Linked DNA regions of Caenorhabditis elegans. The protein of the gene in region 2 purifies or fractionates together with the protein of the main gene of each other region. This does not show direct contact. Each region holds a gene or a part of one and is shown on either strand. Other genes may lie near its edges.

What was found.
Region 1: the proteins of crn-1 (region 2) and crn-4 purify together in Caenorhabditis elegans (affinity purification with western blotting; one study listed by BioGRID). This does not show direct contact.
Region 3: the proteins of crn-1 (region 2) and cps-6 purify together in Caenorhabditis elegans (affinity purification with western blotting; 2 studies listed by BioGRID). This does not show direct contact.
Region 4: the proteins of crn-1 (region 2) and cyn-13 purify together in Caenorhabditis elegans (affinity purification with western blotting; one study listed by BioGRID). This does not show direct contact.

The regions. Positions count from the first base shown.
Region 1 is NC_003284.9:2,254,098-2,261,184, forward strand, and holds crn-4 (3'-5' exonuclease crn-4), read right to left. Parts: upstream 4,005-7,087; 5' UTR 3,978-4,004; coding exon 3,942-3,977; intron 3,891-3,941; coding exon 3,789-3,890; intron 3,741-3,788; coding exon 3,662-3,740; intron 3,604-3,661; coding exon 3,341-3,603; intron 3,284-3,340; coding exon 3,125-3,283; intron 2,251-3,124; coding exon 1,993-2,250; 3' UTR 1,751-1,992; downstream 1-1,750. Other genes in the region: AH9.3 (uncharacterized protein), read right to left, coding at 5,244-5,327, 5,389-5,568, 5,924-6,424. UniProt on the Caenorhabditis elegans protein: Possesses 3'->5' exoribonuclease activity in digestion of DNA and RNA. Cleaves nucleic acid substrates with efficiencies in the following order: single-stranded RNA (ssRNA) > double-stranded DNA (dsDNA) > single-stranded DNA (ssDNA).
Region 2 is NC_003279.8:3,478,625-3,485,893, reverse strand, and holds crn-1 (Flap endonuclease 1), read right to left. Parts: upstream 3,898-7,269; 5' UTR 3,865-3,897; coding exon 3,775-3,864; intron 3,431-3,774; coding exon 2,723-3,430; intron 1,932-2,722; coding exon 1,780-1,931; intron 1,728-1,779; coding exon 1,529-1,727; 3' UTR 1,394-1,528; downstream 1-1,393. Other genes in the region: Y47G6A.9 (DNA-directed RNA polymerase III subunit), read right to left, coding at 4,545-4,709, 5,200-5,384, 5,666-5,849, 6,407-6,538. UniProt on the Caenorhabditis elegans protein: Structure-specific nuclease with 5'-flap endonuclease and 5'-3' exonuclease activities involved in DNA replication and repair.
Region 3 is NC_003279.8:4,444,607-4,451,184, forward strand, and holds cps-6 (Endonuclease G, mitochondrial), read right to left. Parts: upstream 3,856-6,578; 5' UTR 3,849-3,855; coding exon 3,729-3,848; intron 3,683-3,728; coding exon 3,506-3,682; intron 2,997-3,505; coding exon 2,874-2,996; intron 2,818-2,873; coding exon 2,663-2,817; intron 2,408-2,662; coding exon 2,056-2,407; 3' UTR 1,980-2,055; downstream 1-1,979. Other genes in the region: eif-3.H (Eukaryotic translation initiation factor 3 subunit H), read left to right, coding at 124-240, 286-408, 455-650, 698-797, 847-1,141, 1,384-1,650; TM2 domain-containing protein C41D11.9, read right to left, coding at 4,122-4,388, 4,458-4,707, 5,098-5,168; Protein cmt-1, read right to left, coding at 5,392-5,530, 5,582-5,810, 5,872-5,977, 6,024-6,108, 6,160-6,317. UniProt on the Caenorhabditis elegans protein: Endonuclease important for programmed cell death; it mediates apoptotic DNA fragmentation.
Region 4 is NC_003282.8:17,109,206-17,119,466, forward strand, and holds cyn-13 (Peptidyl-prolyl cis-trans isomerase E), read right to left. Parts: upstream 7,453-10,261; coding exon 7,205-7,452; intron 6,845-7,204; coding exon 6,421-6,844; intron 6,262-6,420; exon of another isoform or gene 6,213-6,261; coding exon of another isoform or gene 6,177-6,212; intron 5,879-6,176; coding exon of another isoform or gene 3,876-5,878; intron 3,124-3,875; coding exon of another isoform or gene 3,052-3,123; intron 3,004-3,051; coding exon of another isoform or gene 2,976-3,003; exon of another isoform or gene 2,908-2,975; intron 2,257-2,907; coding exon 1,933-2,256; 3' UTR 1,876-1,932; downstream 1-1,875. Other genes in the region: sfa-1 (Branchpoint-bridging protein), read right to left, coding at 720-1,125, 1,621-1,777; Y116A8C.33 (uncharacterized protein), read left to right, coding at 2,976-3,003, 3,052-3,123, 3,876-5,878, 6,177-6,212; uaf-2 (Splicing factor U2AF 35 kDa subunit), read right to left, coding at 7,682-8,111, 8,860-9,194, 9,246-9,338.

The DNA.
Region 1 (7,087 bases), on a different chromosome or scaffold from region 2:
TTACAAGAATGGATTTGGCTTTAAGGGTGAAATCAAGAAAAGTAGACACACAAAGCAGCACATTTAGAAAATTAAACCTTGAAAGGAGAAAAAAATGAGGAAGCAGTCTGAATGAATGATTCAGGGAATGATATCTTTCTCGTAAATGCGGACCCAAATGAAAAGGAAATCAAAAGACGAGGCTTCCGCCATGATTTGCATGAAGGTGGGTGGTGGCGGGCGTTGTGGTGAAAAAAGTTTTTGGTGGTCAAGAAACATCCTCTCATGTTTAAGAAGCTAGACGGAGAAAAAGGAAACTTGTGGGAAATTGTTGTGTTAAACTGCTCTTCTTTCTTCTTTTTTATTCCGGATGTTAGCTTTTAGACTTTGAGAGTAAAGAACTCGCACTCTGTTTCTTTTTTTTTAATTGAGTAAACAATGAAGAGATACACTGACCGACTTGCTGGCCATTTTTCCCTCTGAAACGTGATAATTAACACGTTCAATTGTCACGTTTCATAATTCATAATTCATATATTTACTATTCACAGATAACTAATACCAAGGTCAAGCGAGAGCAAAAGTTGCACGAAGAATTGCATTGCAGGTTTATTGCAACACGGGCAAGCAGAAAATAAGGGAAAAGTGATGGCATGCGAAATAATGAGAAATCCATTTAATTTGGTTGGTGTGAAGAAAACAAAAAACAAGAAAAGTTTGTGACAAGCTCTAGTGCAGAAACAGAAGCAGAAACAAACTTGTAACTTGAAACTCGATGTTCAAAGCTCACGAGTAGATGAAAAAGTGATGAACAAATTGCCGATTAATCTACACACTTGACAGTGTGAAATAAAAAAAATAAAAACTTAATAAAAATTTTATTTGAATAATAAAAAAATTGTGCTTATTTACAGCTTACAATGTACTTGTGAAGCCCTAGGGAACTGGAGTCGGAATATTATTTTAAAATGTGGAAAAAAGTGTGATAGACTCATGTAGAGTAAAACTTTTCAAAACAGCTTTTAAAGTTTTTTTTTCAAAAAGCTGCAATCACTGAATTTTTCCAAGTTTTGGGAAAACTTTTGCACTGTCACATACTTCTGAAAAAAAGCTATTTTGTTCATTTCGGCACCGCTGGTGCTACTCCATCTTTGAATTAGCAAACAGATTCTAAACTCGAGAGCTTCAAAAAATTTTAGTAAAAGGTATAGGATATGCTATGAGCAATATATTAGAAACACTAGTTCTCAAATAGTTTGTTAATTTAAAAAAAATCCAGAAAAAATTTCAAACTTTCAAATAAAACTGAGTCACAAGCCATTCTTACTTCACAAAGTGCAGACAGTTAGTTTTCAAAAATCAACAGATAAGCTTTTTTTGCAGGGGGTGAATGAGCTAACAAAAAATATATATCTTTGCCGTGGGCTCGCTAAATGACTTGTACAAACACAGAGCGGGTCAGCATGCAAGCAGGAGCAACAGTCGGCAGAAAAAGTTTCAAAATTGTTTTAATTTCTTATCATTCGAGAAAATCAAATAAATCGGATTATCAATAGCAACTGTTAAATAGAAAGGGACAGAAACATCTATTTTTAAAAAAGTTTTGCAAAAATAGAGAATAGATATATTAAAAAAAACCACATTTTCGTCTCATTTTAAAAGTGTAAGAAGATACTGGAATGTGGTGAAAGACAATACGGAGTTGACGACGCTTTTCTGGCAATATTTGGCACGTCTATTTATACACTTTTTTAAATCAGTTTCTGAAGAATTGATAATTAAGAGTTTATATTAATATAAAAATTTGTGATAATTCAAAAGTCAAAAAACGTAATGACATGAGAAAACCCGTGATGGGCAAATACCGTAAAAATCTGAATAAAAACTCGTTTCAGAGTACACGGAGAGCTTGGAAAAAATTCCTTATCACAAGTAACAAGTACAAGGACAAGTAATGAAGAGATGCGATTTGAAAAAAAAAACTTGGTATTAAATTGATGATGTTCACGGATTCTAGTAGTAACCGGCAATTTTGGCAAAGTGGATAGGATCCTCCTCATTTTTGTAGAGATCATGTGGTGTCTGCTGATGACTTGTTCCACACACATCCATTCCTTTGCGGCAATAGCGGCAGACTCCGTACATCTCGAGACGAAAGTCGCCTGCGCGAATTGTAGTCACGACAAGTGGCAGGACTCTTTCGAAAATCTTTCCAGCGTCCATGAAGCTGCTTCTCCATTCTTTGTTGTAGACCAGCGGTTGTCTGCGCCACTGTAAGGAAAATAAAATTATACACCAGTTTCGAAAACAGTGGTTTTGATATTTTTAACGTCAGACTAATTTTTGAAGTGGGAGCACCAAAATCGGAGAATTCGCTTTTTGGACGCAAAATGGCCAAAACTACAGGTTAATACTTTTGAGTGGAGGGAAATTATTTATTTTCACCGAAGAGCTCAAATAAGGACAAATTGACAAAGCCACAACTTGCAGAAGGAATTTTTTATTTGATTATCACTTTTTGTTAAATATTTTCGTAATTTGTTGCAAGTTAATTAGTTGATTTAAATACATTTTCGGTCTATGGGGACACGAATATGATACAGTTTTGTGTTCCCATCAACCGAGCATGAATTTAAATCAACTAACAAACGAGTAATAAATTACGAGAATATATATTGAAGCATGATAATTTGATAAAAATGAGGCTTAAATCTGGCAAAATTTGTGATTTTAGCCTAAAATAAGTATGTTTTTGAAAAAAAATTCTGCACGTCTCGTTACAAAAAGCCTGTTGTTTTAGGCCGTTTTGGGTGAAAAAATAGTGTCAAGTTTCGGTGCTCCGTCTTTAATTCACCTAGGGGTGCAAAATTTACAGAGACTACAATACTAGTTTGTTTTAGTATAAAAATCCTTTGAAAATTATTCATTTTTCTTCATCGGCTCTACACGCATTAATGTGATTTTTCCCTAAAAATTGACGCTTTTACAAATTGATCTACAATGTTCGGTTAGTTTTTCAAAAAGCCAGTGCGGGACTACTAGGTCTTTATCTAATTTTGGATTGGTCAGTGTGGGCACTGGCATAATATTAGTTGAAGATAATAAAAAGGCTGTAAGATGATCTTCAACATTGATCGAAACTTACCGAAGCACAACAGGTCAGCAGCTCGTTCACAGTAACTTTTGCGCCCATGTTAATCATTCGCTGGAGAATAGTAGCAATATTCAGACAGTCATCCATGGCATCATGAGCACGTCCGATGGTTGGCAGATCGTAGTATTCGTTCATCTTGCCGATGTTGGTCTGAAAAGATTATTTATATCATACATTTTTTTAAAAACTATTTGCAATTGAACTCACCGTCGCAGAAAGCTCTTTGGGGCCCATTCGATCCATCTCATTCGTGAAAATCTTGTACAAATTGATGTACTGACGGAAGAAAGCTGGCATTTGGATATTGGACAGTTTCATCTGATACTGAGCAATACGCCACAAATCCTGACGACTGTCACAGACGAAAGCGAACTTTCCTTCTTCCAATCCAAGCGTGATGAGCCACTGCTGGAACTGCTCGTAGACCACATCAAAGGTGTCGGCGGTGTCAATGGAACGTTGCGGGATTCCTGAAAACTTTATTGTATTATGTATATTTATAAAAATAACCAAACTATAAAAACGTACCGGTAAAATCGACACAGTTCTTTGTCAAAGTCCGATTGAGAACAGGTTTGACGTACTTGTTGAAACTAATGTCCTCACGCTGAAAATTAACTATTATTAAATATTTTTAAACGGCAAAATTTCTCACAATTTTATCATTTGGGACATCATAGGCAACGATCGCGAACTGAATGACTTCGCACGGGTAATCTTGATTAGCAGCATCGGATGTTGTCTCAAAGTCGAGAATCTGAAATTGAAATTGATATTTTAGATGCACACAATTTTGAGCTGAACCTACCAATAAAGTATCAAACGGACAGTGTTGGTAAGCCATCCTGTATTGTGTACAGAGAGCGGTGACCTGAAAAATGTAGATTATTGGCAAGAAAAGATACAGAAAGAGTATAAAGAAAAGAGAGATGCAAAATTGAATTTGGCTTAGAATCGCAATCTGGAAAATCAATAATTGCAAACGACGGTCCAAGTGATAGGTGGCCAATGCGGACAGTGTTAACGAGAGAGAACGAGACGCAGAAAGCGAACGGCAAACTTTGAATATATGTTCGGATTACTAAGGCTTAGAAACATAAAGTACTGACGACAATTCTTAAACATTTGAGCTGTTTGTGGAAAACGAGAAGAGAGAAACAAGAAAGTCAACGCAGTAGTTAGATTCAGTATCTATTTAGCACTAATATCAAAAGTTAGAAAAAAAACTTAATCGGAAATTGGAAAACGTTGTTGCGAAAGAGAGCATGCAAGATTATGAAACTAAAAATGGATGCGCAACGACGTCGCAACGCGCGGCATCGAGACACAGGCAGCAAGTGAGCGGAGGTCACACACTTTTTTGGCGGGGGTCAAATCTCATCAAAAAGGCCAAATGACTCATCAACGCTGAAACCGTCCCTCCTCACTGTGTCTCTCTTTCTCTACGTCTCCGCTCTCTCTCAGTATGCTCTCGAACGCATTGTTATTTTGATTTCTATTACGCAATCGCCTCAAGATGGGAACGCCAACTTTTTTGGGGCGGGAAAATATACAGTTGATGAGTCTAGAATTTTATTGACAAACCAGCTAGTAAAGAGTGAAAAGAAAATAAAAAGAAAATAAAAAGTAAAAAAAAAGTAAAGAAAAAGTAAGGACTGACTCTGAAAGTCTTCCAGAGTTTTGCCAAATTCTACAAGTTGAGACGGTTGGGCATGTTCCACCGATACTTTTCATAAAAATTTAATGATACAATATAGAAAAATATTTTCTTTACTTGAAAATAACTTCTAATTAACTTCAAACAACCGAGAAAGTGTTCAAAAATTTTCCGAATGTTGAAAATTGCCGGTGAAAATTGCCGAACAATTGACGGATGATTTCTGAAGATTTTCCTAATTTTTTCTACTAAAATAAATAGCCAAAAGACATAAGATTTTATTGCAAAGTCAAAATTGATAAAGTTCAAAAAATGTTGTAAATACAAAACGGTCATTGGGGTACGTAAACAAAAATCGTTCACGCTTGAAGAAAGAATAATCGGGAACATTTTCAGAAACATTTTTTAAAAAACGTGTTCAAAACAAAATTGAGATCTATCACATGGAATATTTCAAAATGGGGGTCCTAGCATTGCATTGATTTCTGCGGATTGACGGGCACGACGGATTTGCTGGTTGATTTCTGTCAACAGATTCTGAAAAGGCACAAGTTTTTTATTTAGTTTATTACAAATCTCAATTAATGCAAACTCCCACCTGTAGCTGCTCGACAGTGTTGGCCATTGCAATTTTCCCTTTATAACCATCAATATGAGCTGTACTGGCGTTCAACTTTTTTGTGATAACCATTTGCGTGTATTCCGAGATACCTGGTTGGGCGATTCGCTGAGTAAGATTGAGATCGTCAAACTGTTTTTGGTAAGTGTTGATGGCTGCCTGAAAGTTTTCAAAAATGAGAAAAATTACACAGAACGAAACAGAAAGTAGGTCATAAAGTATTCTTTAAAAAACTTCAGAAATTCCGCGTCTACTCTAAAATACTTAAGATTAACTAATTCCGTAATGAGACCTTAGGAAAAGGTAGCAATTTTCACTACGGTTAAAAATTTAAGAAATTGGAAATTTTAGTTGAACTTAAAGAATTTAAACTACGTATTATTACAATTTTTCCAGAATATTTTCTTTTCAATTTGGTTTTTTAGACATTTAATTAATAATTATTATGGTAATACATGACATTTCACTACTCAAAATGTATTAAAATTTTATTTAAACATTTGTGAACACTTACCGCAATTTCTTTTCTCAACTGAATCACAGCAGGATCTTGAGCTCCACTTTCCTCGTCATCACCTTCCTTTTTCACTTCCTTTTCAGCCTCTTCGACGTTTTCCAGTTCATCATTTACTCCAGACCCAATTTTCTCAGTCACCTCTGCATCCGCCACATCTTCAGCAACCTGTGACTTCTCTCCATCCGTTTTTTGAGCATTTTTGTTATCATCAGAACTGTCAACTTTCTCATCAGCAGTCACAATGCCTTCTTCAGTTTTAGGGTTTTCCATTGAGTCAACTTGATTTTTCTCGGCATTCTCATCGGCGGAATCTTTCTCAGGAACCTCGCCGTCAGTTGTAGTTGTCGCTTTTGGTGAACTACCAGCTTCTTCCGTTTTTACTGCTTCCTGGACTTCTTTCTTCACGGATAAGTCTTCCGGTCCATCTACTTCCATCGATTCATCCGGAAGAGAACTGTCATTCTCTTGTGGTTCATGTTTTGGAGTTGGTGACGACATATTACCTACAAAAAAATACAATTAAGCAGGGATTTGAATTTCTGGAATGTAAAAAAAAAGAAAAAAAAAGTATGCATATACCAATTAGAACTAACATTCGAAAAATGAAACAAACAAATTTAGATCTACATAAAAAAAATAATGAATCTTCATTTAGTCTAGTTAGTTCTTAAAATTAAATCCACATTTTTCTAAATTTTCAGAACCAATTAAATAAGAATCAATATGTTTGAGCTAGTTTACAATAACAGAGAAATTAAAATTACCAAAAAAATTTCAGAATTTATGCTAAATTTTGATACACACCCAGTAAAAAACAAACTCACACGTTTCAGAAAAATTCTGGTTAAAAAATAATTGTGTATTTTTCTCAAAAACCAGCAAACAAACAGTAAATAAACAGGAAAGAAAGTAGTCAAAATTCAATTGTCGGTCCTCCTTTAAAAATAGCAACAAAAAAAATTCCTGGAAAATTATCTGATATCACATTCAATTTTTTTTTGTTATAATTCACTTCACAAAAAACATGTTACAGTTTCAAAACCATTTAGCGAAATGCAAGAAAAAAAGCTGTACTCAAAACGGAACGCACAATGGAAAATGTAACAACGTGAGACGCAGGGTAACACGGTTGCCGTATGCGTGTGCTCCCCACCAAAAATC
Region 2 (7,269 bases):
TATCAATCTATTTTTTGGTATACCAATCTATTTTTTGGTATGTCAATCTATTTTTTGGTATGTCAATCTATTTTTTGGTATGTCAATCTATTTTTTGGTATGTCAATCTATTTTTTGGTATGTCAATCTATTTTTTGGTATATCAATCTATTTTTTGGTATGTCAATCTATTTTTTGGTATGTCAATCTATTTTTTGGTATGTCAATCTATTTTTTGGTATGTCAATCTATTTTTTGGTATGTCAATCTATTTTTTGGTATGTCAATCTATTTTTTGGTATGTCAATCTATTTTTTGGTATGTCAATCTATTTTTTGGTATGTCAATCTATTTTTTGGTATGTCAATCTATTTTTTGGTATATCAATCTATTTTTTGGTATGTCAATCTATTTTTTGGTATGTCAATCTATTTTTTGGTATATCAATCTATTTTTTGGTATATCAATCTATTTTTTGGTATGTCAATCTATTTTTTGGTATGCCAATCTATTTTTTGGTATGTCAATCTATTTTTTGGTATGTCAATCTATTTTTTGGTATGTCAATCTATTTTTTGGTATGTCAATCTATTTTTTGGTATGTCAATCTATTTTTTGGTATGTCAATCTATTTTTTGGTATGTCAATCTATTTTTTGGTATGTCAATCTATTTTTTGGTATGTCAATCTATTTTTTGGTATGTCAATCTATTTTTTGGTATATCAATCTATTTTTTGGTATGTCAATCTATTTTTTTGGGCGATTGTCAATGGAGCGGCCAGAACCCCGTGGGACATCATAAATCAATGTACAGATAATGTGTGATGTGTCCATCAGGAACCTCGCAGTATTGTTATTACGGGAACACAAAATTCTAAGAATGCGGATAGCGCAACATATTTGACGCGCAAAATATCTCGTAGCGAAAACTACAGTAATTCTTTTAAAGACTACTGTACGGTTTGTGTCGATTTACGCGCTCGATTTTCGGAATGTTTTATAATTTCTTTTTGAATATCGATAGCGATTTATAATTTTCCTCCGTTTCTTGTATTATTTCGTCATTTTTCGCTAAATTTTAATATTCAATCCATAAATAATAATTTTACTAATTCATGCCAAGAATCGAGATCCCGTAAATCGACACAGTGCTACAGTAATCATTTAAAGAATTACTGTAGTTTTCGCTACGAGACATTTTGCGCGTCAGATGTGTTGTGCAATACGCATTCTCAGAATTTAGTGTTCCCGTAATAGTATGCATCAGAGGTAAGCCGCAAAATTTTTTTCCGGCAAATCGTCAAATTCCCGGAATTGAAAAATTCAAATTTCCCAAATTGGTCAGTCTTATAAAAAACCCTGAAAACTTCCAGCAAATGGGTGTTGGGCAAATCGGCAAATTGACGGAATTGAAAATTTCCAAATTTTTTATTGTTTTCTTAGCTTTGTGTGTTCCATTAAAAAAAGGATAAAGGTAAATAAAAACCTTATTTCGTTTCAATCAATATTTCACAAAAATCAAATAAGAAATTGAATAGTTAGTGTGAGCTACTTGGCTCTCTTCTTCGGTGGTCCACCCTTCTTTGCTCCCTTCTTCGCCTTCTCAGCTTCCTCCGCCTTTCGTTTTGTCGCAGCTGTCACACATGTAACCTTGGTCGAGTTTCCGAAGAACGAGTCAATTCGTCCTTGTGTTCCAGATTTACGGCTAGTCTTCAGTTTTGCCAACGCGTTTCGGATGCGCTCCTCACTGGAAATGAAAGAAAAATTAGATGAAGTTCATGAGGTTCATGGGGACAAACTTGAAGTTCTTCTCTCCGCACAAGAACTGAATGACACCTTCGACATCGGCTTCCTTCCATGTCAGTTCAACTTCTTCCGGTTTTGTCACTTCTGGATTGAGGAAAAGCTCACGAGCACGCTTGTATGGCCAATCCTCTGGTGGTGGGTATTTCTGGAATTTTTTTTAGAAATTAGATATATTATAGATCCGCAGAAAAATCCAATTTGAAATCGATGTGTTAACGCGCTCCACTGCTAATTCAAAAGGCTCCGCTTTCGAGCCAAAAGTGTTGTTTAAAAAATTCCGATTTTTCGGTTTTTTTCTAGAAGGAAAGTGAAATTTTTCGATTTTTTTTAAGAGAAAAAAGAAAATTTTCCATTTTTCGGTTTTTTCTAGTAGGAAATTGAAATTTTTCGATTTTTTTAGACAAAACTGAAAATTTCCGCTTTTTTTTGTCAGTTTTTTCACAAAAAACATTGAAAACTTTCGATTTATTTTTTTTCAATTTTTCGAGTTTTTTTCAGAGAAAAAATCGAAAAACGAACAAATTCATAATTTTTTCAATAATAAATCTTTAGGAGAAACAATATAGCTTTTTTTAAAGTTTGATGAGAAAAATAAAATAATTTTTCTCCAATAAATTGAAAAATGACAGGAAAATATTGGAAATTCGATTTTTTTTTTCTCGAAAAATTACGCTTGCACGCATAATGGGCCTCGTTAGCTATTTGGCGGCAAAACCGTAAGTTCAAAATTTGCTAATTTTTTATTGAATTTTTCGGCTTTTTTAGTTGTTTCCATTGATTTTCATGCCAAAATTAATTTAAAAAAAAAGGCAAAACTAAGTGAAAAATTCGAATTTATGATTTCACCGGCAAGTACCTAACGAGACCCATGGTTCGGGGCATTTATTTGCCGTGGAGCGCGTTTATAATAAAATAGGCATTTTACGAACGACGAACATTTTGATCGATATTCTCAAGAATCGTCTCAATATTCTTGTGCTGTCTGATCAGCTCAACAGCCTTCTTAGGCCCGACGCCTCGAATAGTTCCACAATAGTCACAGCCGAGAAGAATACACAAATCAATAAATTCCTCAACGCTTAGCTTCATTTCTTCGAGAGCCAAAGAAAGATTGAACTCCTTGATCGGGATTTTCTTGGCGACTGGAGCCAGGAAATGTCTGAGAAGAACCGTGGAGCCGAAGGTCAGCGCGTCCATATCCTCAGTGACAGTTCCGAATACTTTTCCAGCTTTCACGAGATGAGCACACTGAGCTTCTGCCTCGCATGGAGCCTCGACAACTGGAATTCCCATTAATCCCAGCAAACGCTTCGCCTCGTCGTTCTGTTGTTTTGTGACTTTTACGAGTCTTCTCTCGAACTTCTCCGCTTCCTTAACATCTCCCTTCTCCTTGGCCTCAGTCAGCGCTTTTTCTGCTTCAGCACGACGCTCGGAACGTTTTTCAAGCTCTCCACCCTTCATATCCGGTGGTTTTCCGTCGAAAACGTAGACAGGCTTCACTCCGTTCTCGAACATTCGAACCGTACGATTCAGCATTCCCATCAAGTGACTTGTGGTTTCTCCATCTTCACTTTGAAGCTGGGAACCATCTTGACGAACAGCAATGAGGAATTGGTAGAGGCACATTGATGCGTCGATTGCTACCTGAAAAAAAAACATTTTTTTTTGTTTTTTTGCTTGTAAAGACTCAAAACTCGTCGAAATTTAAGACATTTACCCGGAAATTTCTTCAAAATGTTCAAAATTATGTAAAAATGAGCCAATTTTAGAGCTGAAAATCTTCAAATTTTTCTGATTTATCGCGTCGAACCGATAAATCATTAATCAACAAAATAGCAGGAGATAAACGACTAAAATATTTTAAAATATGAAAATCAGACTGCGGCGCACAGAAAAGTAGACGAAATTGGAGATTTTCGCTTTAAAAAATTATTTTTTCGAATTTTTGAACCTTCAATTTTGCAAATCTAAGGAAAAAATTCCCGTACTGTTCTTCCGAAGAACGCCTTCATCTCGTTGACTTTAATCGCGGAGGGAGCATTATCAGCAATCACTTGGGAGAGTCCTTTAATTCCCATAGCGGTGTGGGGTTAGTCCTTGTGAATTTATATCTGAAATATTCTGAAATTGGGAAGTTTGTGGATTTTTGAGTGGAAAACGGGGGTAGGAAACGAATTACAGCGAATTTCGAAAAAAAAACACGATTTTCCTTTTTGTTCTCCAATTAAATAGGGTTTTTTAGGTTTTACCGAACGATATCAGTCAAATTCATGAAATTTCACCGAATTTATACGGATTTCGCCGCACTTTCCTGACGTAAAAAACGAAAAACCCCCGATATTCTCCAAGATTTCGAGAAAATAAGATGAGTATGAGATTGCGAAACGATAAATTAACAATTCTAATATATTTTTCGTTTAAAATTGATTAAAAACAATAAAATATTTGCTTAAAATTGTGTTTCTCACTATAAAAAACCCCAAGAAAGGATAAAAAATATCGGAGCTGCGTTCAATTTGGCGGGAAAACGGTGCGTTCAATTAGTTGTCCATGGAGCGCGATTGCGTAATCATTATTTGGACACTTTTTTCCTTGAAAAAACCGATTTTCTGAACCAATTGGTTAAATCTGAAGCTAATAACGAATAAAAGGGTTAAATTTAAGGGAAAATCAATAAATAAATTCATATATTTAACAATGATATTCAAAAATTGAGAGAAAAACAACAAAAACAACAAAAAAAGTGTCCGGAGATTCTTTAAATATCATCGGCATCCAAATTATCATCGCTACCGCCGTCCCCATATCCTTCTCCATTATCAAAGTAAGCCGAGATGTAATCGTTATCCTCCTCCTGATTGTCATCATCTGATAATGGATTCTCCTCCTCTTCTGCCGCGGATTTTTCACTGCCAGAGTCTTTCTGAAATTAAGATATGATTTTTTTCCAATTATTTTCATTAAAATGTAGTGATTTATCTGAAAATAGCTCCTATTTTAGTTGAAACAATTGAAAAACCACTCAAAAATCGTCTGAAAATTAGAAATTTCCAACTTTCGAACATTTTTTGAGCAGTTTTCCAAATGTTTCAACTAAAATTAAATTTTATTTTCAGAAATAAAGGGACGAGAAAACTCTAGATTCATCAAAAGATATGCCAATTTTGATGAGAAAATATTTTTTTTTTGCAATTCATGAGGAATAACCCGAAATTATTGAAAATTTGATTATTTTTCTCGAAAAAACGAAAAATTTCGATTTTTAGTTTTCTCGTCATTTTCCGTGCATTTCTTCTACTTATTTACTTCGATTTTTCTGAAAATTATTTTTCGATTTTTTCTGAAAAAAAAGTGCTAAAAAATGCCCTGTCCCATATAAAATGTCAAAAATCTGAAATTAAAATATCTATTACATCATTATCAGCCTTCTCATCGTCATCATCATCATCCTTATTCTGTGCTTCTTTTTCTTCCAATTTTTTCAACTTCTCCTTGATCATCGAATCGTCATTGGCGACTTTTCGTCGTTTTGCCAAAGATTCCTTGGATTTCGAGCTAGCTCGGCGCCAAATGAGCTCATTCGGCATATGGGACATATCTAAAATGGATTTTATGAATTTGAAAAGGTTAAAAAATCGCCTTAAATTCAGAAAAAGCGCTACAGAAAATAGAAAAATTCAATCTTTTTTTGGCTAATTTCCTCGAACTCTCCGACCAATCAGCATCTTCCAACTCCGCCCATTCCATCTGATTGGTTGAAAAATGGGCGGAGCAAATCGCTGATTGGCCGCTCTTCTCATTTAGCCAAAAAGTTGAATTTTCAAATTTTTTTTTTGTTTTTTCTGAAATTGAGACACAATTTCACCTAGATTTCCGTACCAATGCTAAGCTTTTCCCTCTTAATATTCGAATATTTATCCAAATAACGCTTAATTTCGTCGTCTTTCTCTGCTTCAATAAAGAACTGTGAATCACGCATTCGTTGATCAAGTTCAACTTTTAAACGGGATACGTAGAGCATGTCAGTCGTCATTTCAAGTGGAACGGGGTCATGTTGCACTTTCTGAAAAATACAAATTTCATTAAAATACTGATTTTCAAAGATTTCAAGTAAATTTAGGACTAGTTCAGTTGAAGAATTGGCTTCTTTTTTTTTGGATTCTGGAAGGAATTCGAAAAAACGAGAAATTTCTGCTAAAACTACGGTACCCGGTCTCGACACGACAAACTTGTTAAATGCAAAAAGGTGTGCGCCTTTAAAGAGTACTGTAATTTCAAACTTTTTACGCAATTTTCATATATTTTTCTTAGTTTTTCGATAAAAATATATTTATTAACAAACTGAAATATTAGAGTAATAAAAACAATAAAATGTTTACAAATCGAGAGAAAAAAATCGATAAAAATTCCGCAGAAACGAAAGTTTGAAGCTACAGTAATCTTTAAAGGCGCACACCTTTTCTGAACTAATAAAAAATTGCCGTGTCGAGACCAGACACTTTGACACTTTGACGGAAAAGTCGCAAAATTGGGTGATAAAATTATGGTTTTTTATTCAATTTTTCCAGATTTTTTTTCAAAAAATTTCAAATTCTTATTCCGGTGCTCCACAGCCCGTACCGGATACAACTGTGGCGGCTCATTCTTCTGCTGTGACATCATTTTCGCCATATCGTATCGAGCGATTCCCAACGCGTTGGCGACACTACGCATAGTGTTCGAAGATCCGCCACCACGTCCTCTTCCGCTCATCTGGAATTTCAAAAGGTTTTTAATCATTTTGAAGCGTGCGCCTTTAAGCCCCGGTTACTGTAGACTGGTCTAGCTCCATTACAGTAACCCAGTTTGTCTTAAAATTCCCAAAATAGTTTTATATTCAGAGAAACCACAACAAAATCGTTTTTTTTTTCATTTTGGCAAAATTTCCAATTTTAATTCCTTCCAAAATGAGAATCAGCGTCTTCGAACTCCGCCCACTCCGTTTGATTGGTTGAAAAATGGGCGGAGCAAATCGCTGATTGGTCGCAGTGCTCATTTTGGAGGAAATTAATTAGCCAAAAATGAAAAATCGAGTTTTTAAAAGTTGGATTTTTTCAGTTTCCGTTTGTGGCTTTTTTCTGAAGTCTATTTTGAATTTTTTTGAATTTTTAGGTATTTTTCTCAGAAATATTGATTATTCATATAAATCTCTGGTATTTTTTATATTCCACACAATTTTCGAATTTTATTTCGTGAAATGTGGTTTTTCAGTTTTTGAATTTTTTTACCCAGAAAATCTTGATTGATTTCTCAGCAAAAAAGCTCAAAGTCTTTAATATTCTAAATTAAATCCAAAAAGCTTATTTTTTAATCTAAAAAAATCGGATTTTGGTTTTATATCGATTATTTTAAACTTTTTTTCATTTTTCCAAAAAAAAAATTTTGTTTTTGGAAATTTGGTTTTTTTCCGATCAAAAAACATCAAATTTCCCCCAATTTCTTTT
Region 3 (6,578 bases), 970 kb from region 2:
TTTCTTTCGAAAAATTCGTGATGCTTAGATTATTGATTTTTCCTCTTGTGAGATGCATGTTATTGTTTATTGTTCTTTAGAAAATTTGAAAAACTAAATGCTCATCTTTCAGGGTTATCAAAAATGTCGACAGCAGTGACAATTACCGCTCCGAGCGTCAAGCATATCCTTTTGGATTCGCTTGTGGTTATGAAAATTGTGAAGCACGTGGACAGTGAACTTCATGCAGGAATTAGTGAGGTATATTATTTTAATTTAATTTCAAGCTTAACATGTAATTTACAGGTATCTGGAGACGCTTGTGCCGGAGTTCTCACCGGTCTTGTTTTCCTTGAAGATTCTCGCTTGGAAATCACCAATTGCTTCCCAACAGTTCGCAACGAGCCAGTTATGGATGACGATGCTAATGTAAAATTAGCTCATGCTAGTGATTCCAATATATTTTCTATTATAGGCCGCTCAACAATACGAAGAGCAAAAGCAACACGAGATGCTTGACATGCTCCGCAAATTCCGTACAATGAATATCGATTACGAAATCGTTGGATTCTATCAGTCTCATCAATTCGGAGCCGGTTTCTCACACGATCTCGTAGAATCTATGTTCGATTACCAGGCTATGGGCCCAGAAAATGTTGTTCTTATTTATGGTTAGACAGATTAATGAGGATAAATAATTAATTCTAATTGCTTTCAGATCCAATCAAGACTCGCCAAGGACAGCTTTCTCTAAGAGCCTGGCGTCTTTCCACCGCTGCTCTTGATCTCGCTTCAAAGAATGACTGGAGACCAGAATTGTATGGTTTTTGAGTTTAAAAATATATTTGCAAAGACATATCTTTTCAGGGTGAAAGCCGCTGGTTTGACATACCAGAACATGTTCGAGGAGTTGCCAATCATCATCAAATCCTCATATCTCAACAATGTTCTCATGTCTGAGCTTTCACTCGCTAAATCATGCTCTTCTGACAAGTACTCCACGAGACACTTCGATTTGGGATCCAAGAAGTCGCTTGAAAAGTCGGTCCGAGCTATGATGGCTAATGTTGATGAGCTGAACAAGTCAATTCAGTCGTTGACGAAGTACACTATTGACAAGCAAAGACATGATAATATGGTGTTCAGTCTGACGCAGAAAAGAGTAAGAATTTCGAATTTTGAAATTAAAAATATCCTGATTGTATCGCTAAAATTTATATTCCGAAGTGTAACGGCTTTCAAACCTAAAGTCTTGTTTTTTGAAAACCATTTTCCAACATATCGAGGCTCCACTAACTATAAAACCGGATGTGAGGGGTACATTTTCGGTGGAATAAAGGTGCCATTCACGATTTTCGAAAAAAAAATCTCTATCATTAAAAATTTATATTTTTCCAATTTCAGCAACAGGAGAACGAATCACGTGTGGCCCGTGGTGATCCAACAATTCCAATGGATGACATCAAGAGAATCAAGGCTCCACAACTCCAAACAAGAAATGGACTTTTGGATGAGCTTCTCGCCAGTTTTGACACCAACGCTCTCGCTGACTTCTCGAAGACTGTGACCAGCGAAAATATCACGAAAATGTTCATCGCTGAAGCTGTTGCTGAGGAGAAAGTCGCCGGAACAAAAGACAGAACTTTGAGCTCTGTCTCATCGACTCGTTAAGATTCCCAAATATACTCGTGTTTTTGTTTCCTCCCTGTTCCCTTTAATTTACTTTTTCTTTTCTAAAATATTTTTCTCTCGGTGAAAGGAATTTCATATTACATAAAACTAGTGACATAAAATAATGTCTCACTTTCAATATAGGGATATTGTTTTTCATCCAAATTTTTTTGCCGTATGAAATTCCTTTCTGGTATCCTTTTCCACCTTCCCCTATTTCGGATGAATTTTTGTTGTTGACTAATAGTAAGTTAAGATTTTAAAATTTCTATTGGTATTGTTCTTTTTAATTGAGTTTTCAAGTTTTTTCAATCAGTAAATCAAAAAAGTTAACAAAAAATTTATTTGTGAAACAAAAACAAAACAACCTAAACCTAAAATTCACCGGAATCACAATCCAATCAATCACCAAAGTAATCCTCCCTTCTTTGCTCCGTTCTCTTTCACAATGCTCTTAGGGTCCAAACGAGCGAAAATCTCAAGACCCGCACTTCTCTCCACAGCATCCAATGGAACATGGAACTTGGAAATTTCTACAGTATCCTCGATGACTGCGTTTGGCAAAATATAGGATTCCAGCTCGAATTTGCCGGGTGTCACTTCGAAAAGAGCAACTTTGAAGAAATGAGTTGGCACTGCAACGTTATTATCACCGATAACTTGATACTTGATATACTTTTTTCCATCTCCTTCAAGTTTTGGAAGGTAGAGGGGACCGGTGATTATGTAGGAGTTGATCATCTTTTTTGCGACTCTTCTGGAAATTGTAGAAAATTATTTTTAGTATTGTAAAGAAAAATCTTGGTACCAGCTGGTTTCAGACTGGGCTGTAGATTTTTCGTTTTTTTTTCTCAAAAAAATTTTCCAAAAGTTTCAAATTGTATTAATTTTTCAAAAAACAAAATTCTTTAGAGTTACGTGTTTTTGCGAAAAACTTCGTCGACGAGAAAAAAAATTATTTCACATTTTTCGCGTTTTTTTCCCGGCAAAAAACTTTATTTATTTTACCAACCTGCAGTGCATTTCCAAATCATTCCACTTATCGCGATTGAATCCTCGTCCAACTTGTGGGCTCATATTGCTCAAATAAAAAGTTTGATCGACCGCCAACTGACTCTTCCGATGATTTCCAGCGGCGGCGAGATGTCCACGATCGAATCCACTGCACTGAAACATTGGATGGTTCAGAAATATTTTTTATGTAATAATTACGAAGAACTAACCTTATAATCCGTATTTTGAGAAAGGAATTTCTGCGGGAAAGTGATATCTGGCTTGAATTCACAAAGCTTCCGATCCACACCTTCTGCGTGTTTTAATCGTTCTGGTGTAAGATGTTCGCAGACCTGGAAATTCAATTTTTTATTAAAACCGGTCTCGACACGACAATTTTTTAATGTAGAAAGGTGTGCACCTTTAAATAGTACGGTAGGTTCAAAGTTTCGTTGTTGTGGAATATTCATTGATTTTTATAGTTTTTTTTCACGATTGTTAAAATTAATGTGTTTTTTTAAATAAATAAATATTTTTTAAAATAAAATACTAAAAATAAAAATTATGATAGTTTGAAATGACAGTACTTTTTAAAGGCGCACACCCATTTGTTTTATACAAAAACAAAAGGCATGTCGAGACCAAAGCTGCCTTTGTTTTTGGAAAAAAAAAATTTTTGGTTTTTTCGGGACAAAAAACCAAAAAATAAATTACAACACTGATTCAGCAAAAATGAAACAAATTTTTTTTTGGTGGAAGATTTATTTTTGCAGTAGCCCTGCTGGGTACCGTATTTTTGGCGCTAAAACTTGGCGTCCGGTATAGATTTTTGAAATATATTTTCTCATAATTTTCTACTAACCCAGTGTGCAGTTCTTGTCTTATAATCGTAGGAAAGCACGAAATCCTCATAAGTTCGAACATTTGTGAATCCGGGATATCCGTGCTTCATGATCTCTGCCGAACGAGATGGTCCCATTGCATCAGCATTTAGAGATGCTGGTTTTACGGTCATTGGCTCCGAAACTTGGATTTGATTCTGCAAAAGCGGCATTTTTCAGGATTCTAGAAGATTTTTATTAAACCATTGGAACATTGGTGGCTGATTGAACATTCCTGAAGATTGGCAGATCGTCATTCGAATATTTTCCAGCGAGGAAAGATATTCCAGCGATTGCCGCGGTTCCAGCCACCTTGCCGATCATATTTCGGCTGGAAATTAAAATTGGAAAATTTGGAAAAGAAAAATAGAAAAACTGAAAATTCATGTAAAAAAGATATTTTTGAGTAATAATCTACTTCATATTCAAACAGTTTACAATCGAATTTTGTAGAAATATTTATTACTTTTAATGGAAAAATGGCAATTTCAAAAAGACGAAAATAAGGAGAATAACAAGAGTATCAGAAATCACCCGAAGCTTAAGCTTATTACAGGAAGTATTTACACAAATTGGAAAAGAAAATTAAAAAAAAAATCAAATATACATGGATCCATCGTAAGGTTTAATGTATCCAACTGCGATCAGAACAACGTCCACAAGAGTCCACACACCAAGACCACCGAAACTGAAAAGTTTTCCAATTGCAGATTTCCAGAGTCCCAAGTAGAAACGATCAGCTCCAAAACCGCCGAGCACAACTGAGAGAATCATTGTTTTTGTCCAACTGTATCCAGATGACCAGTTACATGGAATTCGCTTGTAGAAATTACGTTGTCCCATACATATTACTGAGCTGTGAGCCTGAAAATTCAATTTTTTTTTGAAAATTAGGTATTTTAAAACAGATATTAAATTAAAGAAATTGCTCACCGAGCACTTTGTCACGAGAAGCTTTGTACTACTCGTGGAGCAATTTGTCGCTGGCTCGCAATCATAATCCCCAGGTAGAAGTTGCCAACAAAACCGACACACCGCTTCGACATTATTTCTGCTGACAGGATTCGGGCAACCTTTCCGTGAAGTACAATTCACTTTTACAGTGTCTCCGATTCGGCAATCACCGGGAAATGTGCACGTAAGGCCTGCAGATCCATCACAATTCTTGGATTTAACGTCTTTTCTGAAAAAAAAAGAAACTAAATTTATTTCATTTTTAACAAAATTTCAAAAAAAAAGCATAATTTCAGGTAAAACCTCCAATTTTGCTATTTTTCCGAATCGCAGCGATCGGTAATCGATTTTTTTATTATCGTTTTTTTTTAAATTTCTCCCGTTATTTGGTTTGATATAAGCTTTAAAACCACTTAAATCCACAAAATAATGTGAGAAAATTAAGAAAAACAAGCAAAATTATATACAAATCAAAGAAAAATCAATTTCTGACCGTTGCAACACGGGAAAGTTGGAGAAATTTGAGGTTTTGGCTGAAATTAACCACCATAATTAATTTTTTTTTTCGAAGTTTCTCGTTATGAAATTCGGCTTTTGAGGGCTATTTTCTGAAACCTACGTTCCGGAAATGGATCCAATTGTCGGAATAAATGATGCAAGACAAATTAGAAACAGAATTTTGTGAAGCATCTGCAAATATATATACTCCTGTTTCACTAATTTTCTAGAATTTCTCCAAAAAAAGGAAATATAATAATTCGGGAAATGAACCTGATTGGACGAGAACATAAATTGACCCCGGGAATTTATTGGAAAGCTGTTGATCACAAATGAGACAGAGAGATGATGAACACAACGAGATCAAATTACAAAATAATTCAAAATTTAATTTTCAAAATATAATAGGTTAGAATTAATGCTTAGAGTGCACAATGTATGGCACCATTCTGAGCCATTTTCCATCATTTCTTGGTGCTGGAACCCCATCGCAATTGCATTTTTCGTGGATGAATGAGTAGTGGAACGATTGCTTTGAGCCGAATGGAGGGTCTCTGAAAAAGAAAAATAAGAAAAAAAAATTCGGTGGGAATTCGTGAACTAACTCCTCTTCAATTTCCTCGTTGACCATATCCTCGGATCCTTTGATAAAGACAAAAAGCCGATGATTCTTATTCGTTTTGTTCGTTTCATTGCTCTGTTGCTCCTTCGAGCAACTATGCATGAACAGATCTCGATTGATTTTTCTTCGTTCAAAGTCGTTTAATTCGGCACACGTATCACCACAGCTCTTGTGCGTCGAGTCTTCGGCTTCACATATCGTTATTGGAACGCCTGAAACACAAGATTTATATTTCTAAAAAACTTAGAATTAAGAATTTTTTCGATAACATACGATAAGAGTATGTAGATCGGACGGGGCAGGTGCCAATGAAAATGGCCACTTCCGAAACGTTGCCTCGATGATGGGAACGAAATATTTCGCGAAATTCGTTGCGGATCTGCAAAATTAAATGTTAAAAAATATATATAGGAATAAAATCTTACCTTATAAAAAGAAAGCATAGTTTTCGATAAAACTTCAGTTTCATCTTCCTGACGTGCAATTATTGGCGTGGAGGAGAAACCGTGTCTGAATTGAAAAAAAAATTGATGTTGAATATATTACGAAAAGAAAACTCACGAGAACATGAGGTTTTGCATGAATAGATCAACGAATTGAAGTGAAGAATGAATGCAAACAGCTCGTTTGAACATTACCGGGAATCTTTTGCATTTCGACTCAAAATCGATAATTTCATCGTTCAGATTCTCATTATTTAAAGATGATAAACTCATCATTTTCCTGAAAAAGACACTTTTAGAGATTTACGGAAGGCGAAACGGGACGAGCGATTAATTTGAACGATTAACAGATACATTAGAATTATTATTATTCTAAAAATATATAAAAACCGAGCGTTATACATTTAAATTAAAGCTATAATATTTTAAATTGACAGTGAAGAGCCGCTGCTTCTGCTTTTTGCATTAGTCCAAGGGAGCGCAGTTGCATTGGCGGCAAAAATAATAATTTGAAAAGAGCAACTTCTGCAAAGCCGG
Region 4 (10,261 bases), on a different chromosome or scaffold from region 2:
CACATTTTATTGTATGCTTTTGGTCGTTTAATCGTCTTTTTAGGAGGCGCCCTTCACCTGAAAAATCACATAAACCAACGAAAATGGACCAAAATATGCAATAAAGAACGATAATTTTGGCAAAAATTGAAATTTTAAGCTGACAATGCGCAATTTTCCACAAAATTGACCGTTTGAAACAACAATTTGATAGTTTGGCCATTTCGGGTCCAAAAAATCGCCAAAATCTCATTTTTTTGGCGGGATTAATCCGGATTAATCGCAAAAAAATTGAATTTAAAAAAAAATCTAAAATTGAATTAAATTCCAAAAAAAAAAACCAAAAAAAAAAGGTGATTTTTTTTCAATTTCTGTAAATTTCATCCAAAATGACAACTCCGCGACTCGCCCTGCCCACTATCGACGCTGATTGGTTGAAAAGTGGGCGGCGCGAGTCGCTGATTGGTCGCGGTTCTCATTTTGGATGGAATTTATCCAAAATCGCGAGGATTTTTCAGTTTTTGTGTTTTTTTTTTTGGGATTTTCAATGCAAAATTAGGCTTAAAATAAATTAAAATGTTCAAAAATTTTGAAAATTAAACTGAAAAATCACATTAAAAAAACGAAAATGGATTTAAATATTCAAAAAAAGACGATAATTTTGGGAAAATTTGATATTTTAAGAACAATTTGGTAGTTTTGGCCATTTCAGATCAAAAAAAAAAACGCCAAAATCTCACTTTTTGGCGGGATTCAACGCAACAACTGCACCAGCTTGTACAGCTTCAACAGGTACTGCTCCACTTTCAACAGCCGCAGCCAAATCTTCCCGAATCAATGGATTTATCACAGGTTCTTTAACTCGTTGCGGACTATTCGGAACCATTGACGGAGGTGATCGTTCTCTACGCCGACGATCTCCACCGCTTCGGCTTCGACGACGAGGTGGTGGTGATCGAGACCGCCGACGACGACGTTCACGATCTCTATCTCGAGGAGATCGAGAACGGGAACGAGAGGATCGGCGTTCACGATCTCGTTCACGTGAACGATCCTTCTTCTTTCGATCCTTCTTGCGGTCACGATCACGAGAACGTGATCGGTCCCTTTTTCGATCAGACACCGATTCCGAACGAGATGGCGATTCTGAAATATGGGGAAATTCAGAGTATTTAATTTTATTGAGTTTTTTCCATGTTTTTCTGCATTTTTTACAATTTTTTTTTGCAACTTTTCGACAAAGAAAGCCTTCAAAATCGCCAAAAAATAGCGAAAATGTGACTTTTTTTAAACTTTCGCTGTTATATCGAAAAATCCATTAATTTTTCTAATTTTTCGACTCAAAAAATGACGAAAATACAAGAATATTGTATTTTTCCACCTTTTTTGACATAAAATACAAAAATGATAGATTACTAGGTTTTTTACTCAAAATTGTCTAAAACGATGGAATGGGGAAAAATTGCCGAAATTTTCAAAAAAATACGACTTTTTCTGATTTTTCGATTAAAAAAACAAAAATAGTGCATTTTCAAGTTTCAAGACTCAAAAAACGTCGAAAAATTTTAAAAAATATAGATTTTTTGTTATTTTTCGATACAAAAAATGTACAAAATTTCCATTTTCGACACAAAAACTCACTATTATCACCAGACGACATGGAGGAAATTGTTGGCACAACAAGTGCTGGTGGTGGAGCTGCTGTTGCACTGGGGGCAGCTCCCAAATCTTCGCCAGCTTCGTTGCCCCATTTCCGGATGAATGGCATTGGCTCCGTGTTTCCACCAGTTTTCGACATCTGTAGGGTGGTTGATTTTGAGAGGGAAATACAAAGAAAAATAGAGAAATAATAGCGATTTGAGAGACGCTGAACGAAAATTGGAAAAAAAAAGGAAAATAAATTAAAACAATTCTTTTTGAAAATAAAACATATAAATTTTAAAATTCAATAAATTAAGTCTCCATAGCCTGCGGAAGCGGCTCCTGAATCTCGGCTCCCGGAACAACTGCCTTCTGGGCCAATTTTTCGGCGGCAATCCGTTTTTCCGGCTCAATTTCCCCGCTTTCCACGATTTTCACAACCATCTGAGGTTTGCCAGACGGAGTTCCTTGCTGTTCGACTTGTCGTACAATATTCATTCCTTCAACAACATGACCGAACACTACGTGTTTTCCGTCAAGCCAATCGGTTTTCTCGGTGCAAATGAAGAATTGTGAGCCATTTGTGTTCGCACCGCAGTTCGCCATTGAAACTGTGCCGGGCATTGTGTGGCGGAGCTGGAAATTTTCAGATTTTTAGAGCTTTTAGGTGAAAAAATGCTTAAAATACGGAATTTTAGATGCAAAATCGGTCTAAAACAGACAATTTTCAAATTTGGAGCGGTTTTTGAAAGAGAATGGAAAAACAATTTGGAATTTAAGATCAAAAATCGGATAAAAAAGGAAAATTCTCGAATTTTCAGCGGTTTGTGATGGAAAATTCGAGCTTTTGAGTGAAAATTGGCTAGTAATTGTTGCAATTTTGGTTAAAAACGGAAAATTTCGGAATTTTAAGAGTTTTTAGGTGGAAAATATGGGTTTTTAATGCAAAAACTGATAAAAATGCATTCAAATCCGAAATTTTAAGTGCAAAATCGGTCTCAAACGGACAATTTTCGACTCTGGATAAAGAATGGCAAAAATTTTAGATTAAAAAAGGAAAATTTTGACTTTTCTGCGGTTTTGGATGGAGAGTTTTTGAGTCAAAATTGGCTTAAAATAGTTGCAATTTTGAAATTTTTCCTATGTTTGCACCAATACTCAGAAAATTACAATTTAAGTGTTAGTTGACACAGGAATTCCAATTTTTTTAAACTCTGGGGCACGTGAAAATTTTTAAAAAACTAGTTAAAAAAAAAAAAAAAAAGTTAATTTCCCAATTTAAAAACATTTATTTCGAACATTTGAACTTCAAAAAACCGATAACTCATCGATTTTTCAACACAATCGGCGTCAAAATGAAAGTTCTTGTAGTTTTCCTTATCGGTGGGTTTTTTATTTCGTAATTTTCAGATTTTTTATTGATATTTTCAGCTCTAACAATTCAAATTTCAAGTCATCCCGCCAATTTCACATTTGTACCGGATGTATTGCTCTCTCCACCAGGTATAAATACGGGTTTTTTGGCGAATATGTTGGGGGAAATTCGATGCAATCTGCACGTACTCGGCACACAATTTTATAATTTTTTCTTCTAATGTTGAAAAGAAAAACGTGGGATTTTTTCGGGGAAAGAATGACAAAAATAAGCAAATTTTGTGCAAAACGTGGGTATAGTTTGACAACAGTTTTCGGAGACAACGGAGATTCGGCAATTTCTTATAAGAAAGTTGTTTTTTTTTCGGAATACAATTAATAAGAAGTAAACGAAAAATGGCTCAAAACTGAGCAAAACTGGCGTGACGGTGTACGATTTGATGACATTTGTTCAAAATTTGTGAAAAAAAAAATTGATGACAAAAATAAGAAAATTTTCTGCAAAACGTGACCATTTTGAACACGGCACAGAGCGGCTTTTACTACGTGGCCTAGAAAAATCAAAACTCGGCCAATGATTTATCTGGGATTATAGTTCCACCGTGGCGATTTTTGAGAAAATGTTCCGAACCCATGTTATGAAGGCCACCGAGTTTTCTTATTTTACGGCCACGTAGTAAAAACCGCTCTGTGACGGGGCGGCAAAAGCTACGTCCATAAAAGGGCGCTCTACTGTACAATGAGTATAACACCTCTGGGTTCTTTTTTTGGTACAATAAAAACTGGAAAGATCAGCTCTGTGGATTTTGAGCCACAAATATCCGTGTTTCAGTTTCCAACCGTTTCTAAATTAAATTCTTGAAAAATTTCAAAAATTTCAGCACCGTACTTCCCATCAAAATACATCGACCGTATCTCGACAGTTGCTCAACTTCCAAAAGGAATTCAATTTCAAGCTGGATTAATGAATGAGACTATTGCAATTGATGGAATTTTGAATAGCTATAGAAATTCTGATATTTCCAATTTCAAATCTGAAAATATTCTCAAATTGATTGATGATCTGAAGGCTACATCAATGGGATCTGAGCAAGAAGTATTGAAAGTGGAGAGCCAACTAATCAAGTATAATACGTTCATTGATGAATTGAAATTTGATGGAAATACTTTGGAACTACATGGAAAATATAAGTTTTTTGACACTCTTCGTGACTTAGCTATAGATGTCAAGGATTCCACTGACAATGGGCATCGTTTCATAGTCGACATGCTTGAATACATCGGCGAAATGCTGCAGTGGCTTGAAGAGGGCTTGAATGTGCCGTTCAATATTACCGAGCGTACAATGAGTCCTCAATTTTTGTTGGAAAAATTAGGTAGTATAATGCTCAAAGTCTCGAGCGTACGACATGTTGAATACCTTGAAGGAATGAACAAATCAATAGAATCGACGTTTAAGCCACTACGAGAAATGTTCAAGTTGATGAATGATCGAAATGAGATTCATATGTTAGAAACAGATGAGAAAGGAGATATTTTGAGCAGTAGCATCTTACAAATGGTCAAGCTTTCGAAGAAGAGAAACGATTCTGAGGAAGACGTCCAAAGAGTGACAAAGCTCAAAAATGATGCACAAAGAGAATTTCCACGAGTCGATTCTAAACGGCTCGGAGATCCTTGGCTGGGAAGAATTCTGAGAGCTAACAGAACATTGTTGAACCAACTGGCAGATAGCTTTAAGCCTCTACAAATTGCCCATAAAATGCTTGAAAAGTTTGATGAGGAGTTGGCAGCTATCTCTGGAAACTCTCTGATTTCTGATGGGTTTGAACACTTGAAGAATCTACTTTCATCAGTTCCACTTGACATTGAAAACTCTGCAGATGTACTGAAGAAGCTTGAAGCATGCTATCGTTTGCATCCGGCTGTGTCTCCCGATAAAGTTTATGTCGAATTTTTGCGTAACGTTACCTTGTTTTCGAATTACCTGGATAATGTTATCGATCGTTTCACATTTGAGAAAAAGTTTAACAAATTCCTGGACTCTAACTCTCTCCAACTATTAAAAAACAATCAAAGTTTTGTTAATGAAACACTGAAACGTTTTCTAGAAACTAAAAGTGTCCCGAAATTCCTGATCACAGTAAATGAACTCAGAGACCGCATCAAAGCAATCGACTATAAAGAGATTTTCATTTTTCAAAATTTGAGTAAAGCTATTGAAGAAAAACTGAAAAGCCAAGAATTCAAGGACAAGATATCTTCCGAATTGGAAGTTCACAATTGCTTGAAAAAGTTGAAAAACAACTCGGAAGCTGTTATCCGTATGGTTCCATTGATTCAAGCGTTTATGAGAGCAGATTTGCAAAATGTTCAACAGATTGCTCCATTGGTATCCAAATTTTCACACGAACTCTCTACAGTGAAAACAATTCCAGAGAAAATGAGAGAAGTTGCGAGTCCGGTGACATTGAGAATGAATGAGATGTCGCAGATGTTGAATCAAACCGATGAAATTGGCATATCTCAGAGTGTAGTTCAAAGTGTCTATAGTCTAGTGGACTTGGAGCCACTGATTAGTCAGGTCAAGGGACATGAAGATATTTCTTCCTTAGAGACAGCAATAAGTCAAGCAAAAGCTTATATTTCAAGAATTGATGTGTGGAGAGCTAAATCATTGAAAGGATACACTAATCCGCTCAAGAACTTGACAGCCGAAATTCCGGACATTGATATTATCCCAATTGAAAAGGCCCTCAGAGCCATGGATCCGGCGAGCCCTTTTCTTGAGAAGATTGCAGCGTTGGATTTTATTTTATCAAAGCACAATACAATTTTGCAATGGGCCCCATTCAAATTTGGAGTTCTTCAGGAATTTCTAGAGGTACTGTAAATTTGGTTATCGATCCTTGAATTTTGCAAAAAAATTTGTCGCACAGAAAGTGGGGCGGAGCGTAGCTTCACAACACTGCCGCATGAGGTATTTCCCCGCAATATAATTTCAATTTTACTTGTATTTTTCTCGATTTTTCGAATGAAAATGTTATCCAATTCGAAAAGAAGAGAAAAATTTTGCGTAGCTCCGTCCCACTTTCTGTGCAACAAAATTTTTTGCAAATTTTAAGGATCGATAAATAAATTTTGGTAGTAGTGTCATGATATAAAATAGAGAACAATTTCAGATCGTTCTTCTTCTGAAACGAGATGCATTTGAATAGAACTATTGATTTTTTTTTTGCCAAAAATCAATAAATTTTTTATCTCGTTTCGTTATTTTTTCAAAAATTTCGCATATTTTGGCACATTTTCTACAGAAAATTTGATGTTTAGCACGAATTATTGGCATAATTACCAAATAACGTTGTGAAAATGCGATTTTTTACAGTATTTTTTCTAGTATACCGCTCATCAAAATTTGTGCCTAACCGTGAAATTCTCATCATCAAATTTCGTTCCATAGATCGACTTCCCGCCGGTTCCGTCTCCTTTCGTAAAGTCACCGCCTTGAAGCATAAATTTTGGAATAATCCGATGAAATATCGATCCTTCATAACCGAATCCTCGTTCTCCTGTGCACAAACATCTGAAGTTTTCGGCAGTTTTCGGTGTAACGTCAGTTCTTAACTCGATCACTATTCGTCCAATATATCGAATTCCAATCTTCACTCCCAGATAGACACGTGGAAGCTTCGTCGAGGCTGACGACGATGACGTGGCGGCTTTTTCAGCGTCTCCGTCTTCTTCCGCAGCAGCTTCTCCACCTCTTCCATACTTTTTGAGCCATTCGTCGTCTGCCCAGACAGGTTTCTGTGAGCGTTCGGTGGCTTTTGGTGGACGAGCAAAGTTGACACTGAAAATAGCAATTTTAAAATTATAAAAAATGTTTTTTTCACAGGTTTTATTGAAAAACTTGTAAAAATATCTTTAAAAAAATATGAAAAATCACAAAGATTAAACCTGAAAACTAGGAAAATTTTGAAAACAAAATTAAAATTAAATCTTAATTTTAAAAGATGCTCCGAAATAACATGCGCGTGCGTTATTTCGGAGCATCGTTGCTACGTTTAAAATTGAAAATTAATTTAAATTTCCTGGTGTCAAACTACGAAAAACTGCGATTTGCGCTGGAGTTTCACTTTACGTAGTAGACTACGCAAGAATTCCACTTTATTTAGGACTATTTTCTTGGTTTCCAGAGCCAATCCCTAACCGAATAGTCTTTCCGAACAGCTCGCTCTCGTTCATATTATCAATCGCCATCGCCGCATCCTCAGCCATATCGAATTCGACGAATCCGAAGCCACGATGCTTTCCCGACTCGTAATCCATCGGAATCGAGATGGCAACGACGTCTCCAAACGGAATGAACGCGGCCATCAACACTTTTTCAGTGACATCCTCGGTGAAACCTCCGACGTAGAGCGTTCTTTTCCGATTGTGTGGAAAATTCGTGTTCATCTGGGATTTCTGAGCAGTTTGCAGGTGGATTTGTAGAAAATTAAATGAATAGGTAAAAAAGATGGCTGAACAGAACCATTTTTTGGCGAAAAAACTACAAAAAGAAGGAAATAAAAATGGTTTTTTTTGCAATAAAAAAGAGAGAGATAGAGAAAAAAGAGCAGAATTATTGGAATTATATGAGATAAGATACAGAAGAAAAAAGGTAAAAAAAAAAGAACAAGAGAGATTAATATCGTCTTCGATCACGGCTTCGACTGCGGCGTCTTCCACCGCCTCCACCTCCATATCCGTAGCCTCCACCGCCACCGCCACCTCCATATCCACGACCTCCGCCGCCTCCACCCCATCCTCCACGATCACGATCTCTGCCGCCACCGCCGCCACCCCATCCTCCACCGCTTCCATAGCCACCGCCGCCACCACCTCCACCGCCGCCTCCGGAACCTCCACGTTGTGATGGATAATGTCCAGCTGCGTCGGCTCGTCGTCCACGTCTACCATACAGACGATCTCCAAGTTCGGCGGAAATTGCCTTCAAGTGCATGAAATTGCAGAATCCTCCTTTCGAGCAGGTTGTAACTTCGTGTTGACGGCATCTAGACTCGCGGAAGTCGGTGACAGGGCACAACTCTGCGTAGATTGGTTGTCCGTTGAACCTGAAAGCGAAAAATATTTTAAAAATCGATAATTTTACAGAAAATTTTCATAATTTTTGCATTTAGCATAAAAATTTCCAGCTAAATCAGGAAAAAGACGGAAAAATCACGATTTCTGGACAAAAAATATACTTTTTTGCCCCAGAATTTGTGTTTTTTCATCATTTTCGCTGATTCTTGGTGCAAATTTCCAGCTAATTTAGCAAAAAAACATGGAAAATCAAGATTTCTGGGCAAAAAATAAAAATTTTGAGCCGCTCCGCTCACCATCTGCGTCGCGGTCCATTTTACAGAGGTGGCCGAGAGGGAACCTCGGCCATGACCGCGACGCAACTGGCATGCGGAGCGGCTCAAAAAAATTTATATTTTGCCCCAGATTTAGTGATTTTTCCATCATTTTTGCAGTTGACATGAAAAAAGATGGAAAATCACGATTTCTGGTCAAAAAATTAAATGTTTTGAGCCGCCCCGCTCGCCAGCTGCGTCGCGGTCCATTTTAACGAAATGGCCGACGGGAGCGGCTCAGAATTTGTGATTTCTCATCATTTTCGCAGATTTCTTGCACAAATTTCCAGCTAAATTAGCAAAAATGATACGGGCTAGCTCGCCAAAGTGCTCAGATGGCCCCTGTGCCAGGTATATCTCCATTTCAATGCCCTTCCGATGGGCAAAGTACAGTGGCACGTTCTCTTCACAGCACTTGAGCTCAGCTTGAGCCCTATCAACACAGCAGCTTCAGCTTACGCACCATCGATTATTCAAATCATTCTTTGCTTTCTCGGCGTCCTCTTCCTTCATAAATTTGACGTATACGTTTCCGACCATGTGTTCTCCGATATTCTCACAAACGTTGATCTCCTCCACTTCTCCATATTTTCGCTCCATCTCCACAAAAACCTCCTCGTAGAAATCGTCAAAATAGCGCTGTTCCTGATCATTCCGCTTGCCGACTTTATCGAAAGCATCCGCCTGACGGACATCCACTACCGGATTGTGGTAGAAGTTTTTGAGCACAACTGTTGGCGAGAATGTCGGTGTATGATGGGCTCTGGAGCATTTGTCTCCGTGGCGGCAGGCTCCTGTCTGCAAAAATTATTTAATTATTGAATTTTTTCACAGAAATCCACAACAAACCTTGAAGAAAAACGAGCAATTGACTTTATCCTTCTCAGTACCATAGATTGAGGCCAGGTACTCGGCTCCGGAGAGCCCGTCACCATACGACATTGGGATTCACTAAAAAAAATGATTTTTGACGAAAAATTCAATTTCAGCGGGAAAACCCTGAGAATTACGATTTTTAAACACAAATTCTGACGGAAATACTTCAGAATACAACGTAAAACTCAAAATATCAAGAATTCAATGCAAAAAACAAACTGCGAACCTGAAACAGATAGAAAATGGAAATAATAACCAACTGCCCTGCTAAATTCGAAAACGCAACGAGGCACGCTTTTGTGGGCGGGGCGAGCGTCGGCAAGGTGAGCGCGCGCGTTTTTCTAGCGTTTTCTCTATTTTTCTTTTTTTCTCCCATGACCAGAGATTAATAAATAAGTTGAAATTTAAGTGAATTTCTCTTCAATTTTCCGCGATTATACCGATTAATTCATGCACCAAGGCTGAAAGAACATTTAAAAATCAATTGGAGCTCAAAATTATTTGGAGAAAACTCAAGAATACGAGATTTTTCACTCTAAAACTAAAATTTGTTCTTAAAATGCAAAGTTTTAAATGAAAAAAAAAACATTGATTTTTTTAAATATATAAAAAAGGGGTTTTTGATTCCTTTAAAATTCTCTGCGTCTCTTGCATCTCTCGCCGCGCGCTCTCGGGGACCACTCCTCTTTTGGGGCACGCAAAAATCGATAAGCTTTCGGCGGCGCTTGGCCTCTTTCTTATTTCTTCTTATTTCTCAGTTCCTGAATCCAAATTTACAGAAATTTCGGCGCATTTTCTCTTTTTGTTGCGAAATTCGCATTTTTAGCGTTTTTAATCGAAAAACCCCCAATTGACAAATCCGTGGGAAGTTTACATAGAAATTTCCAGCTAAATTAGGGAAAAATCACGAATTTTAGCCAAAAAATTACATTTTATTGAGCCGCCTCGCTCGCCGGCCGCGCCGCGCCGCGGCCAATTTTTACAGAAAT